2 linked regions of the Sus scrofa genome follow. The protein of the gene in region 1 purifies or fractionates together with the protein of each later gene. This does not show direct contact. Links are inferred from orthologs where the notes say so. Each region holds a gene or a part of one and is shown in the gene's direction. Other genes may lie near its edges. The genes, in order: LURAP1 and CDC42BPB.

Region 1 (4,319 bases):
GGTTGCCAGGCTAGGGGTCTAATCAGAGCTACAGCTGCCAGCCTATGCCAGAGCCACAGCAACTCAGGATCCAAACCACGTCTTCAACTTACACCACTGCTCATGGCAACGTCAGATCCTTAACCCACTGAGCAAGGCCAGGGATCGAACCCGCAACCTCATGGTTCCTAGTTGGATTCATTAACCACTGAGCCATAACAGGAACGCCCAAAGAAAATTTTTTTAATTAAAAGATAAAAAATAGGAGAGTTCCCATGATGGCTCATCAGGTTACCAACCCGATTAATATCCATGAGAATGTGGGTTCAATCCCTGGCCTTGCTCAGTGGGTTAAGGATCCAGCATTGCCATGAACTGTGGTGTAGTTCTCACATGTGGCTGGGCTTCGGTGTTGCTATGGCTGTGGCATAGGCCTGCATGTGCAGGTCCAATTTGACCACTAGCCCAGGAACTTCCATATGCCTCAGGTGTGGCTGTAAGAGAAAATAAATAAATAAATATGTAGGAGTTCCCACTGTGGTGCAGTAGGTTAAGAATCTGACTGCAGTGGCTGTGGTCACTGCAGAGGCATGGGTTTCGATCCCTTGCCTGGCACAGTGGGTTAAAAGATCTAGCATTGAGGCAGCTGCGGCATAGGTCACGGCTGTGTCTCGGATTCAGTCCCTAGCCTGGGAACTTCCATATGCTGCTGATGCAGCCATAATAAATAAATAAGTAAATAACGATAGAAATGTGTGGGACCAATGGAAGAAGGGAAATACAGATTGTGAGGTAAACCCATATTTTTCATAATAGGTAGCAGATCATGTGAAAGTTAAGACATAGTGCTACAAACCTATTTTGGAGTTATGAGTATAAGCACCAGGAAAACATAGCTAAAAGTAATTGCCTCTGGGTAGTGCGACTAGAGGCGGCAAAGAATAGGATGGCGGTAATAGCTATGTTTTCGTTACACATCTTTCTGTAATGATGGGCTTGAATAACTCGGATTGAAAATCAAAATCAAGCTAGAGCATAAAAAGTTTTTTATGGCACCTCATTGCCCGTAGAATAAAATCCACGCACAGAACCATCTTTATAACCTTGTTACTCAAGTGTGGTCCCTGGACCAGCAGCAGGGCCGTCGGCAGGGGGCTTGTTTGAAATGCAGAATCCCAGGCCCCACCCCAGATGGATGGAACAGTTATCTGCATTTTAACAAGATTCACAGAAACTTCACATATGCATAGTCAAGTTTGAGAGGCATCAGTTTTCAAGATCACGATGTAGCCCATCTGGACCCCTTCAGCTTCAATACTGGCTGCCCCTCATTGGCCAGAAGAACTTGACTTTCCACGCTTATAGTCTAAATTTAGTGGCTACACTGGTTTTGTGTGTGCGTGCATCAGTGGGTAGCTAAATTCCTCCACTGTTACAGACTCAGCTCCTCTACTCTAGGAAGCCTTCCAAAACCCTCTGCATCTCTGTTACCACTGTTCCTTAAAATCCCACATCCCTAACTGCAAATGCTTAACCTTCATTCAGCAAACATTCTTTGGGCGCCTGCTGACAACCTGGCTGGACTGAGTGCCAGAGTCGGGAGCAGGCGCTGAGCTCTCCTCCAGGTGCATAAGCAGGATCGCCCAGCCTCACCCATTTCGGAGCCAGCGCGCGCAAACACACGCAATCACACACGCACAAACACACAGAGCTCTGCGCGGCTTTTCTGAGGGTTACGGCGCCCTCCTCCCGCCCCCGCACTGAGCGGGCGGGGACCCACTGGTTCCGTACTAGCGGCCGAGGAAGGAGGACCCCCAGGAGCGGGATCCCGGCTCCGGTCGCCCATCCCTGTGCAGCCTTAGACCCGCATGGAGGGGACTGCGGAGTCCCAGACGCCTGACCTTCGAGACGTGGAGGGCAAGGTGGGCAGGAAGACCCCCGAAGGGCTGCTGCGCGGGCTGCGAGGCGAGTGGGAGCCGGGCACCTCTGGCGCCCTGCTGCTCCCAGGGGCGCCCAGCACCGGCCACGGCCTGGGGGACAAGATCATGGCGCTGAGGACGGAGCTGGTGAGTGTGGGCTCCATGGGCCAGGGGGCCGGAGACCCTAGCATGGGGCTGGGAGGGATGGACTCGCGCTCTCGGAGTTGGGCTGGAGAGGAGGGAGTTAAAACTCCCCGCCCAACTCCTCAGGATTCCGACCTAATCAATCTTTAAACCCTGGGGTCCTTTGAACGCCTTCCCCACCTAGGGTGGGTGGGGTGTTCGTGGGTCCTGAGGAATCAGGATGGGAGGTGCCGGTTTTTCTAAGTTTTTTTTTTTTTTTCCTGCCAAATAATTGGGAGGGAGAGGAGGGGACGGGGAAGCCCTGAGAACCTGGCGCAGCACAGATCTCCCGCTCCCCCTGACTTGGAGGCCACCTCTCCCGGCCTAGCCACCATTACAGGGCGACCAGTTTTTTCTCCTTCTGCAGACTGGGCCCAGGGTTTGTTCCTCTCAGGCCCCAGTATCCACCACAAGATTTCGCACAGAAGCGATATGGGTGAAAACTGCCTGGACTAGGGCCACTAAAAACATCCTCTTTCCTCAACACCCCCCCGCCCCCCCGCACCCACTTAAAATATTCAAAAGTTCCTAGAACCTTAGCAGACACACAGGAGCAGCGCCAGCAGTGTTGGTCCCATCACTTCTTCCTTTTTTTTTTTGGCTTTTCTAGGGCTGCACCTGAGGCATACGGAGGTTCCCAGGCTAGGGGTCCCATCACTTCTGACACAGTCTCCTTCCTGCCAACCCCCAAGTACACTGGATATTTGCATCTCATCTGAGGAGAAGCGAAAGAAGCAGGTACCCAAACTCCCCTTTCCTGTTGCTGCTCATCTAGATTCAGAGCCAAAAGGGCAGTTGGGCACACACTCCCCAGGCTCCCTGGTTCCGGGGAAGGGGGTGATTTACACCTGCCACCACTTTGCAGCCAATTCTGGGGAACTGAGGAATTGCCAGCCACTTTCTGGCCCAGAAACAGGAACCCACAGTAAATATGTCAGCGGACAGGTCTTCCTGGAGCCCTACTGTGTGCCCAGCTCTGTGCCAGGCTGAACTGTGGAGCGTGGGGAGAGGGTGGAAATGGAGGCTCCCTGACAACCTCAGAGGCTGGGAGGAGAGCTTTGTGGGCAAAGTAATCAGGGAAGGCTTCCTGGGGGAAGGGTTTGAATGCCCTGTGTCTACTTGGCCTGGAAGGTTGGAGCAATTGTTAAATTCTCCAGAGTAGGGCTGTAATTGTGCTGATCCAAGCGAGGGGTCCAGCTTTGTCTCGCTGTGCAAACTTTAGCTCAAGGCCTAGAAAGAGCTTACTCAGAGTGTCTTGCTCTGGAAACTGACTTCACCAAGTACAAGTGCCAGGCATCGTGTTGAGCATGTTACGAGTCCTCACAGCAGTTTATTAGGTAGATGGTATATTACAGATGAAGAAACTGAGGTACAGGGAGTTCCCTGGTGGCTCAGCGGGTTAAGGATCCAGTGTTGTCATTGCTATGGCTCTTGTAGCTGCTGTGGCTTGAGTTTGATCCCTGGGCCTGGAACTTCTGCATGTGCCCCCCCCCAAAAAAAGAAAGAAATTGAGGTGTAGGAGTTCCCATCACGGCGCAGTGGGTAATGAATCTGACAAGGAACCATGAGGTTGCAGGTTCGATCCCTGGTCTCGCTCAGTGGGATAAGGATCCGGCGTTGCCGTGAGCTGTGGTGTAGGTCGCAGACATGGCTGAGATCTGGCGTGGCTGTGGCTCTAGTGTAGGCTGGTGGCTACAGCTCCGATTAGACCCCTAGCCTGGAAAACTCTATATGCCGCAGGAGCAGCCCTAGAAAAAGCAAAAGACAAAAAAAAAAGAAAAGAAAAAGAAATTGAGGTATAGAGTCATACAAAAAGTGAAAAGCAGAACCAGGCTTTGAACCCAAATGATCTGCCTTTGCTTTACAGCTTCGCCATTGAGACCTGCTTCGCACCAGACACATGAAACGTTTTTTGCTGTCATTAGAGTTAGAAAAGCAATCATCATTTTCCCGTCTCACAGAGGAAGCACGCTTACACAAGTTAAGCATGCTTGCCTGCGCTGACAGTGGGAGCCAGGGAGTAGCCATGCCTAGTCTCTCTGGCTCTCTTTTCTGCCTTTGGAGATTATTGTTTATAAACTTTAAGGAGTACATTTAACTTTTTTTTTTTTTTTTTTAATGGCCACATCTGCAGCATATGGACGTTCCCAGGCCAGGGACTGAATTCCAGCCACAGCTGTGACCTACACTGCAACTGTGGCAACAATGGAGCCTTTAACCCACTGCCCCAGGCCGGGA
Region 2 (4,513 bases), on another chromosome or scaffold:
TACACAGCAGCTCATGGCAACCCGGATCCTTAACCCACTGAGCGGGACCAGGGATTGAACCCAAAATCTCATGGATACTAGTCTGGTTCCTTGCTGCTGAGCCACAAGGGGAACTCCTCCACAGAGTAGTTTTGCCACAGTTTCCTTTAGTGTTCAAACCCCTATCTGTCCCTCATCTGCTCCACTTAGCTGCCCTGCTTCTACTGAAGCCCCCTCTCTCCCCTCTTCCCCAAGTTAGGAGTCCCCCGGGTTTCTCCCCCTCATGGCCTTAGTGACCTCCCACGAGTTCTGGGTGGGATCCTCCTCTCCCGACGCCAAGAGCTCGTTTGGGTGGGCGATATTCTCCATCACTTTCCTTCTCCAGGCACACGAATGAACCAGCAGGAGCCGGCTGGGCAGACCCAGCCTGGAGACCAATGGCAGGCCGCTCCATATAGCAAACTGGTACCCTAGAGCATCTGCGTGGAGGCAAGGTTGGACGGTGGGGGTCCGCTCTCCAGCAGCTCCGCCTTGTCCCGGCCTCAGCCTCCCGTCCGTCAAGGCAGAGGTGGACCTGCGTTTACCGAAAGGCCGCTCCCAGACTCGACGAGCCCAGTTTTTAAAACAGCCAGGCCAGCCGCCCAGGCCACCACATCTGCCCCTGCGGGACAGCCCGCGACGCTCACATCGGCCCACCGGCCGCGAAGCTCCCAGGCAGGCCAGGGACGCCGGAGGCCGCCTCGGGCTCCAGCGTCGGGGGCGCGGAGAGAGCCGGGTCGCGGGCGCGCGGGCCCCGCACACACAGGCCGACCCCCGCGCGCTCGCGCACGCCGCCCGGGGGCTCTCCGCGCACGCGCCGGCGCCGCAATCTCGGCAGCGCACTGGCTCCTCGCTGCCCCGCCCCCGCCCCGCCGGGCGTCGCTCCCCTCCGCCCCGCCAGCCCCGGCCTTCCCAGCATCCCGGCCCCGCTACGGCAAGCGGCGAGGCCCGATCCCGCCGGGAGCCGGGAGCCGGGAGCGCAGGGGCGGGGCGGCGCGCTGAGGTCAGCGCGGCGGCGGCCGGCCGGGCCGTGGTTGGCTGGGCCCGCGCTGGCCGCGCCCTGGTTGGCTGCGGGCCGCGGGGCTGGGCCGCCGGGTCGGGGCTGGGGTCGGGGCTCGGGCGCCGGCCGGGCTTGCGCAGCGCTCGGCTCCGCGCTGCTCCTGGTGGCCTGCGGGCGACGGGCGGCGAGGGCGCGGCCGCGGGCGGGGCCGAGGGGCGCGCGGCGGGGGCGAGGCGAGGGCGGGCCGCGTCGCGCGGGGAGGGCGGCGGCGCCGAGGGGAGGAGACCGGCCCATGGACCCGCGGGGCCCGGCGCCCCAGACGCTGCGCCGCCGGGACCGAGCCCAAGATGTCGGCCTAGGCCGGGGCGCGACGACGCGGACGGGGCGGCGACGAGGCGCCGCGGCTGCCGGGGCTCGCGGCCGCCGGGCCCCCGAGGGCTCGCCCTGAGGGACTGGCCGAGCGGGCGGCGAGAGGCCGGCGCGTGGGGAGCGAGCCGCGCGGCACCATGTCGGCCAAGGTGCGGCTCAAGAAGCTGGAGCAGCTGCTCCTGGACGGGCCCTGGCGCAACGAGAGCGCCCTGAGCGTGGAGACGCTGCTCGACGTGCTCGTCTGCCTGTACACCGAGTGCAGCCACTCGGCCTTGCGCCGCGACAAGTATGTGGCCGAGTTCCTCGAGTGGGGTAAGTGCGCGCGGGGCCCCCGCCTGACCCTCGGCCCCTGCGACCCCCTCCCGGCTCCCTCCTCCCCGCCCTGCCTCCTCCTGGGCCTCGGGCTTCCGCTCATCCCGCCTCGTCACTGCTCCCAGCCCCGCCGCCCCGGCCCTCTCCGCCCGCCCGTTGCGCGCTCGCCCCTTCGCCGCTCCTGGTCCCGCCCTGCCCTCCTCCTTGGCCTTCGCACCTCGGCGTTCGGCCGTCCCGCCCCCTCATCCTGCCCCTCGGAGCCACATCCTCCGTTCCCACCCCCACCCCCACCTCCGCCGGGCCAGCGCCCCGGCCGCTTCCTAGATCCACCCTCCGAGTCTGGATATCGTTTCCTGCAGCTCTCCCAGGGACATCCGCCCCCGCCCCCGCACCTCGCCTTTGGGGTCCGGAGTCAGCGTCGAGGTCCCCCCCCCCCGCTGGCTTGTAGCGGCAGCGGCGTCGGCTTTTCGCGTCTGCCTCCCCCACCCCCCCGCATCTCCGGGGCGCCCCTCCTAGGTGACACCCTGTCTGCATCCCCTTGGTGTCCAGGGCTTCAACCCCCCTTTTACTGTACTACTTCCAAGGGTATTTTAGGGTTCAGAGCTTTATCTTGAATACGCCACGTGAGAGCAAATCGAGTTTTGTCATTGTAATCGTACCAGACCCGTGTAATATGGGGGGGGGAGGCTGGAATTGTTAGTATGTGGAAGTCACTTAAAAACTTAACTCATCCGGTTTTTGCATGCTTTCTCTAGTTGGAGCAGGATTCTAGAAATGCTGCAGTCATTGGTCCACTAAACTAAAACACTTTACCAGGACGATAATTTGATAAAGCTCTTTAATAGTGATCCTGAGAATCTGAAGAACAGCTGCAGGTGTAAAGCAAGCTCCTCTTAACTCTCTAACTCAGGCGACCTGTCAGGACCCTCAGACTCACCTGAAACTACTGATTAGGAAGATGAAGTGCTTATGTTCAGGGTTCAGGCCAAATCCATGGAAATCTTATCCTTTGCATCATTTGCGTCATTGGACTAGGACTGTTCAGTTTGAACCAGTAATTTCTAATCTCAAGGGCTGATAAAGCTGATATTTACCTGAAGAAACCAATGGCTGTATTCCATACTGAGGCCATCTACTCTGCCAAAGTGGTGATTGGAATTACTTAAGATGTGATGTTCTTTAGGGAGCTTCTTTTTTTAGCCCATTAGTGAAATAGTGGCATGATGTCTTGTGAGGGCAGTTGAAGGAGGCCCAGAGGCCCAGGACGGTCTGTTCTGCTTTATTTTGGTGGGGTTCTCCGTTCTAGGTTACATGCGGTATCAATAAAGTAAGGATGCTACTCACTTTCTGGGGTCGGCGACGTGATTTCCAGCGGAATGATCAGCAATTGTTGAAGATGGAGCCTTGGGTGCCTGTTGCGTCGGAGCCTGCTGAATGTTGAATTGGCCATTCCTTGCTGAGCATTTGACCTTTTATTTTATTATTCAAGGAATTTATCACATCTGTAGTTGTATAATGATTATCACAATCCAATTTCACATCTGGTCTTGAAATTGAGACATTTTCACAGCCATGTTCAGCTCAGTGCTTGGTGTGTGTGTAAAGGTGTGACTGTGAGGAGGCTGCAGAGGGGCGGTTGTGTTAGCAGGTAAGGTGGGGTCCAGCGGCCTGTGGCCTGGGTTCTGTGCGGTGCTCATTGGGTGGGTGTCCTAAAAGCTGGGCCCCCTGGGGGCCTGTGGTCCTTGTGCGACACCCTCACCACCAGATGGTACCAGGGATGGTGGGCTTCCCTGGAGGAAGCGCCTCTCAGCACGGCGGAGCCGTCGCTTAGAGATTTGGCTTTTCCAAGTCCAAACAGAAGCCGCGTGCTATGATAGAAAAATATTTGGGGAGTTTCCGTTGTGGCTTAGCAGTTAATGAATCTGACTAGCATCCATGAGGATGCAGGTTCGATCACTGGCCTCACTAAGTGGGTTAAGGATCTGGTGTTGCCATGAGCTGTGGTGTAGGTCACAGACTTTGCTTGAATCTGGCGTGGCTGTGGCTGTGGTGTAGGCCAGAGGCTGCAGCTCTGATTCGACTCAGCCTGGGAACTTCCATATGCCACGGGTACAGCCCCTAAAAAAGACCAAAAAAACCCCAAAAGATTCCTACTGCAGAGGTGTGAGTTCCATCCCTGGCCTGGTGCAGCAAGTTAAAGGACCTGGAGTTGGTGTAGCTGTGGCATAGTCCCAGCTGCGGCTCGGATCTGGCCTTGCTGTGGCTGTGGTGTCGGCTGGCGGCTGTAGCTCCAATTCGACCCCTAGTCTGGGACCCTCCACATGCCATGGGTGCAGCCCTAAAAAGCAAGAAAAAGAAATGTCTTGAAAATTGTATTCTGGCTTTTTGGAAATTACAATTACAAAAAAATTATGTTATCCTAGGAATTCAGTCTGTACAGAGGCGTAAACTTAAAATTACGCAGAAGGAGAATGGACTCTAATTTAAGGTGGCATTTTCATGGAGTAGTAATGTACTTTATTTTTATTTACTTTTTTCGCTTTTAAGAAAGTTTTTTTTTTTTTTTTAGTTTTATCGTAAGGCATTGCAGAAGCGGTATTTAATCTCGTGTACCTTAACCTCTGTACCGTCGTAACTCCCCCGTGGGTGTTATCAGTTAGGTGGTGTGTGGTCATCATTTAGTGTTTCTTGGAATGCCCGGTTATTGTGCTTGGACCGCGGAGAACGGTCTTGCAGATGGACTTGTTTGTGGAGCATCGTTTGGCTCCCTGACTTTGGAATTGCCTCTGCTCAGAGCATAGAGACAGGCTGGGA

Evidence for each region.
Region 2: the proteins of LURAP1 (region 1) and CDC42BPB purify together in Homo sapiens (co-immunoprecipitation; 3 studies listed by BioGRID and IntAct, with this or other methods). This does not show direct contact. The link is inferred for Sus scrofa from reciprocal best matches to the Homo sapiens genes LURAP1 and CDC42BPB.

What each region holds. Positions count from the first base shown.
Region 1 is NC_010448.4:165,205,210-165,209,528, reverse strand, and holds the start of LURAP1 (leucine rich adaptor protein 1), read left to right. Parts: upstream 1-1,337; 5' UTR 1,338-1,847; coding exon 1,848-2,045; intron 2,046-4,319. UniProt on the Homo sapiens protein: Acts as an activator of the canonical NF-kappa-B pathway and drive the production of pro-inflammatory cytokines. Promotes the antigen (Ag)-presenting and priming function of dendritic cells via the canonical NF-kappa-B pathway.
Region 2 is NW_018084979.1:1,749,041-1,753,553, reverse strand, and holds the start of CDC42BPB (serine/threonine-protein kinase MRCK beta), read left to right. Parts: upstream 1-1,432; 5' UTR 1,433-1,524; coding exon 1,525-1,699; intron 1,700-4,513. UniProt on the Homo sapiens protein: Serine/threonine-protein kinase which is an important downstream effector of CDC42 and plays a role in the regulation of cytoskeleton reorganization and cell migration. Regulates actin cytoskeletal reorganization via phosphorylation of PPP1R12C and MYL9/MLC2.